Regions from separate parts of the Mus musculus genome. Here region 2 is reported to be linked to region 1. The links are microRNA targets in miRTarBase. Many come from high-throughput screens and were not tested one by one. Region 1 holds a microRNA gene; the other region holds the end of a gene's coding sequence.

Region 1 (3,142 bases):
TATACATGTACACAGACACAAACAGAAACACACACACAAACATCAGTGCAACTCATCGATCCATTTGAATGACGTGTGACTTAGAGTTTTAAGATTCCTCAGTACTGAATGGGGAGAGGTCTCACTCAGCAGGTGAAGTCCCTTCACAGAGTCAGGTTGATCAGGAGTTCAAATTTGTGCTGAATTTCATGATGAGTTCATGACCAGCATGGGATTCATCTTATGCCCACCAAAAATTTGCATGTGTGTATAGTTGTGTGCATATTCACTTCTCTATATGAATATGCATATACACACATGCACACACATTCATAGGAATGGCCAGAGCTATGTCTCAGTTAGGAGGTGAGTACTCTTGCCAGTGTCAGGAGGATGAGGAATTCAAATTTATGTTTAACTTCATGATGAGTTAGAGTTCAGTATGCGATTCATGTGATGCCCACCAGAATGTGCATGTGTGTATAGTTGTGTACATATTCACTTCTGTATATGAATATGCATATACTCACATGCAAACATACTCCCTCGAATGGCCTGAGCTATGACACAGTTAGGAGGTGAATACTCTTGCCAGCATCATGAGGATGAGTAGTTCAAATTCATGTTTAACTTTATGATGAGTTAGAGATCAGCCCGGAATTCATGTGATTTTCCCTGTGTTTGTGTTTATGTGTATAGGGAAGTATGCCTGTACATGCGCGTATATGAACATGCATATATATATATATATATATATATGTATACACACCCACACAACTAGGGACACATACATGTGCACACAAACACACATGGCAGTCATCCATTTGATTTATACGTGCTTATAATTTCATTGAGTGTATATTCATGGTATAGGGAATAATCTCACTTATCAGATGAAAACCACTTGCCAGAGTTAGGAGTCTCAGGAGTTCAAATTCATGCTTAACTTCATAATGAGTTAGAGATCACCCTGTATTTGTGTGATGGATCCTAGGTATGCACAAGTGCATATAATTGTGTGTGCACGTACATGTGTGTATATGATCATACATATAAATACACACACATACAAATGTATTCACACACACAGGCGTGCACACTCACACACATAAGAATGACACTCATTGATCCATTTGAATGATATATGTCTTAGAATTTTGCTGATTATAAAGTAGAGGGACAGTGAAGGTCTCACTCACCAGGTGTAAATAATTGGCAGTGTCAGGAGGATCAGGAGTTCAATTTCATGCTTAACTTCATGAGCAGTTAGAGATCATCCTGGAATAATGTGATGGCCCCTATGTATGTGCCCGTGTGCGTAAGTGCCTGCATGTATATGCGTGTATATTTTATGCATATACATACACACACCTACACACACATGCACACAGACATGCGGAAATGGCCTTCACGGATCCATTTGAATGATATGTGACCTACTGCTTTGGAGGTTATGTATGACTGGGCCAGGGTGAGGTCTCACAAACCACGGGAAAACCCTTGGTAGAGTCGGGAAGATCAGGAGTGCAAGTTCATAGTAAAGGCATGATGAGTTAGAGGTCATCCTGGCATTCATGTGATTGCCCCTACGTATGTGTATATGTGTTGATGTGTGTGTGCATGTACATATGTGAATATGATATACATATACATACACGCACACATAAGACACATATGAGCACACAGACACAGGGGAATGGCACTCGTCAATCCATTTGAATGATAAGTGACTTAGAGTGAAAATGCTTGCTAGAGTTAAGAGTATCAGGAGTTCAAATTTACACTTATCCTCATGAGAGATCAGCCTGTGATTCCTCCATGTATGTGCATGTGTGTATAGTTGTGTGTGCATGTTCATGTCTATATTTGAATATACATAACATACACACACACGTATAAACGCAAGCACACATACACAGACACAGGAATGGCATTCGCCAATCCCTTTGAATGATAAGTGATGTAGAGTTTTAGAGATTATGCAATAGGGGACATTGAATGGACTCACTCACCAGGTGTAAAAGATTGACAAAGTCAGGAGGATAAGGATTGCAAATTCAAGCTTAACTTCATTTGGAGATCATCTTGGTATTAATGTCATGCAACCCATGTATGTGCATGTGTGCTTACTTGTATGTGCATTGTATGTGTTGACATGATATACATAACATAAACACACGTGTTTATGCAAGCACACACACACAGGAAAAAATTGCATTCATTTATACGTTTGAATGACATGTGACTCAAAGTTTTCAAGATTATGAAGTAGTGGGACAGTGAAAGGTTTTACTCATCAGGTGTGAAAGATTGTGGATCAGGAGTTCTAATTCATGCTTTACTTCATGATGACTTAGAGATATGCCTGGGATTCATGTGATGTCCCCTATGTATCCCTATCTGTATCTGTTTCTATTGTGTGTGGATTTGAGTATATGGATGTACCTATCTACACAAATATGTACATGTACACAGACACAAACAGAAACACACACAAAAACATCAGTGCAACTCATCGATCCATTTGAATGACATGTGACTTAGAGTTTTAAGATTTTTCAGTACTGAATGGGGAGAGGTCTCACTCAGTAGGTGAAATCCCTTGACAGAGTCAGGTGGATCAGGAGTTCAAGTTCGTGCTGAATTTCATGATGAGTTCATGATCAGCATGGGATTCATATTATGCCCACCAAAATGTACATGTGTGTATAGTTGTGTGCATATTCACTTCTCTATATGAATATGCATATACACACATGCACACACATTCATAGGAATGGCCAGAGCTATGTCTCAGTTAGGAGGTGAGCACTCTTGCCAGTGTCAGGAGGATGAGGAGTTCAAATTCATGTTTAACTTCATGATGAGTTAGAGTTCAGCATGCGATTCATGTGATGCCCACCAAGAATGTGCATGTGTGTATAGTTGTGTACATATTCACTTCTGTATATGAATATGCATATACTCACATGCAAACATACTCCCACGAATGGCCCGTGCTATGACTCAGTTAGGAGGTGAATACTCTTGCCAGCATCATGAGGATGAGCAGTTCAAATTCATGTTTAACTTTATGATGAGTTAGAGATCAGCCCGGAATTCATGTGATTTTCCCTGTGTTTGTGTTTATGTGTATAGGGAAGTATGCCTGTACATGCGCGTA
Region 2 (3,142 bases), not on the chromosome of region 1:
CCAAGCCAAAGGATCACCACACTTTGGGGAACAGGCCGAGCTCTGGGGGCAAGTGAACTGGGATTCCTGAGTGAGGCCTGGTACACAGCAGGTGGCAATGGCTGCTGAAGAAGGGAACTACAGTTTCAACCTCATTAGTTCATGCAGCTCAGTGCCTGCCCACAGGGAGCGCGGTACACCACCAATGGGTGAGTGTATATATATATATATATATATATATATATATATATATACATACATACATAAATACATATACAGTGAGAGTGTAAGGTTCTCTCCTGGGGGGGCCATGAGCCCTGTGAAGCTCCATCAGATACTGAGTACAGAAAGGTGAACTGCCATGGGGGCTGAGGCCTCTGTGCACTGGGCTGTTCGGCACTGTAAGCCTCAGAGCTATAGGACTCCCTGCTGGACAACCTGGGCAAAGTAGCCTCCTCCACAACCAGGACGCAGCTATCTGAACCCCCGCCTAGAGCATGTAAAGAACACCAGAATGTTTCTAAGTGTACTTTTCTCTTCTTTTTACAGTGCAGTTGTTTGAACCTAGGGCCTTTGGCATCCTAGGCAGACATCCTACCACTGCACTACATCCCTAGCCTGAGATGACACCTTTGAGCCTCATGGGCATCTCCCTAGCCCCGTTAATGGTAGTACACGAACACAAACCTGACAGGAACCCTGTCACTCAGCCAGGCCGTACTTGCTTGTTTATAAGGCAGCAGCAATATGAGGTCATAACCTCCTGGGCCCAAGTAAAAGGGGCTTTTAGAGAGGCTGGTGAGAGGGGTCTTACTCCTGAGCCCTAGTCTCTGCCAACTCCAGTCTACCTGAGCCCAGGCCAGATCGGAACCTCTTCAAAAGAACAGTACATGTAACCTAGGCTGAAGAGCAGCTACTAGAAGCTACCCAGCCTTGAGTGTACCTCCAAGGCCCAGATCTGGCTCTCTGCAGATTTGAAAGCAGGTCTGTCAAAGCTGGATGGTAGTTCCTAACCTGGGTATCTGGCTGATATGGAGGCTGCTGGTATAAACACATTAGACTTTTGAAAACCCAGCCAAGTAGCTAGTGCTGGAGACCCCCACCAGCCACGATTGCCCAAGGTTTTCTAGGTCATCTTTGGGGAGGCTGGGTACTTAGGTGGTCAGATGGTCCTTAGTGTGCATAGATGGAGCCTGCTACCTGAGCTCCAGTTCTGTTGCTCTATGCTTTCCCTCAGCTTTTGATATTTATGCAGATTTTTGACTGGGATGTAGTCGTGGCTCCAAGGAACTATATTCTTGGGCCTAGGTGGAAATCACTTTTGGATACGTCACTCAAGGCTTTGCCCATTGCCAAGCTGTTACATCCCTTCTCCACTTCATGTTTGCAAGGCTCAGAGTAGGAGACATAAAGACAAGGAGGACCGGGACAAAGGCTCTGGATGGAATTCCTGCAAAGACACAGTGCCCCTCCTTAAGACGCAGGTGCCTTAGCTCCAGACGGCCAGCAGTCATCTGAATCCACAGCTGGGCAGAGCAGCAGATACAAAATGTGGACATTCCTTTGAGCCTTTTCTCCTTCAACCTGGGCTATCCAGCCATAGTTCCTGGAGAAGGCTGGTGCAGGAAGAGCCCATGGGGCTAGAGGTTGACTCTAAGGCACTGCAGAGTTCCCAGATGGTTGCAAAGGCTAGGGCATGTTTCCAGGTAGATCAGACTGCCCTGGAGCTAAACAAAGTGCTTTGTGGTTTGTCCTGCCCATTGATCCAAACACTTGCTAACCTCATGAATAGAAGACCTATCCAGAATGGAGTACTTAAAGGGGGCTGGGGAGTGGGAGGGACTAAAAATCCAAGTAGAACAGAATTTGCTATACTCTCTGCTGCATCCAAAACCTCACCAGGCACCGGGCTCACCAGGGACTGGATGGAGCCTAGCCTGGGCTTTGATCCAGCACCATAAGGACCTGAGTTATCAGAGCAAGGGCAAGAGAGCCCCAGAGACCACCTCACCCTGTCAGTCAGCACTCATGGGTTCCCCAGGAAGAGCATCTTTCCAAACAGGTTTAATGTTTTTAAAACAAAACCAAGAACCAAATGCTTCCCCACTGAGATGAGACCAGGTAGCACCAGGGAAGCAGATGAAACAGCAGCAGCCTCAGGCAGTGCACTCGGAGGCAGGTAGGTGTGTGTGTGTGTGTGTGAGCCCCATAGGGGCCAGAGTGGAAGTACAGTCAACTGTTCTCCAGTAGGGGCTGTGCTTATGTGCCCACATGTGCCTACCCAGGGAAGAACATAGCCACTTCCCCAGACCCTGTGGATTGGGGCAGTACATCCTTTACTTATAGAACTCCTCCAAACTGGGCTGGGCTTGCATCCCCGGACCCATACAGTGGACTACCGGGGAGAAAAGGTGGAAGATGGCAGACTGTATGTGCCCCCTCTCTCCCAGTGAGGCAGGAAAAAGACCACTGGGCCAAGGTAGTCACACACCATCATCAGAAGTTACAGCTGAGGGCCCAATACCCCCAAGCCTCCGTGCCATGGTAATGAGAGAACGTAGCTGCACAAGCCTCAGCGGCCCCACTTCTCTGGGATCCTGGCTCTCTAGCCACCTCAGAGCTGTCTCTAGTCCCCAGACAGCTTCCCCAGCAGTAGGTACCAACACTCCTCCTTGTTCGGTGGCCTCCTCCTCCTCCTCTCCAGCCCCGATGCTAGAGGGCAGGCTAGCTGGGGATGGAGGAGCAGCGGGGGCCACCTCTTCTCTGCAGCCTTCCGGAAGGCCTCCATCATCATCCAGGTGTAGCCACTGGGCCACCTCTTCAGGTGCCAGGCGCTTGTAAGCCAGAGCTGCCAGATGTGTGAGGTCACTGAGCACCCTGCTGTGTTCGGCAGTCTCCTCTACCTGGTGAGCTGGCTGCTGCCCAGGCTCAAAGGCTGCTCGCAGACCCAGCAGCCAGCAGCGCTCTATGCTGCCTGCCTGGACCAAGTCCCAAGAGAGGCCAGCCAGGTACAGCATGTCCTTGAGAACGAAGCTTCTCATGAAGTCCAGAGGGGAGCCACTGGCACAAGACACAGCAAGCCGCAGGAGCTCGCGTTTGTACAAATGCTTGAAGGCTGCCACCACGCCGTGCTCCAACGGTGCAGGGATGTGTGCTCGGCTGG

The links. The annotated mature microRNA mmu-miR-466a-3p reads UAUACAUACACGCACACAUAAGA and lies in region 1 at 1,626-1,648, shown strand. An mRNA with a match to its seed (bases 2 to 7 or 8) in the 3' UTR can be bound and repressed. Matches are read on the target gene's strand: a 7mer-m8 pairs with bases 2 to 8, a 7mer-A1 pairs with bases 2 to 7 and ends in A, and an 8mer does both.
Region 2: miRTarBase lists Tigd5 as a target of mmu-miR-466a-3p. Seed matches in the 3' UTR shown: 7mer-m8 at 247-253, 7mer-m8 at 239-245, 7mer-m8 at 235-241 and 8mer at 230-237.

Annotation. Positions count from the first base shown.
Region 1 is chr2:10,482,394-10,485,535 of GRCm38, forward strand. It overlaps Mir466c-2 (microRNA 466c-2), which reads left to right and starts at 1,573; the gene lies at 1,573-1,662. All of the region lies in intron 10 of Sfmbt2 (Scm-like with four mbt domains 2), which reads left to right. Mir467a-3 (microRNA 467a-3) reads left to right here and starts at 1,285; the gene lies at 1,285-1,367. It overlaps Mir669a-6 (microRNA 669a-6), which reads left to right and starts at 1,803; the gene lies at 1,803-1,889.
Region 2 is chr15:75,911,040-75,914,181 of GRCm38, reverse strand. It overlaps Tigd5 (tigger transposable element derived 5), which reads right to left. Exons shown (of 1, transcript NM_178646.4): 1 at 1-3,142. The coding sequence ends at 2,463. Among named protein-coding and RNA genes, the nearest start is that of Tigd5, 2.9 kb to the right of the region's middle.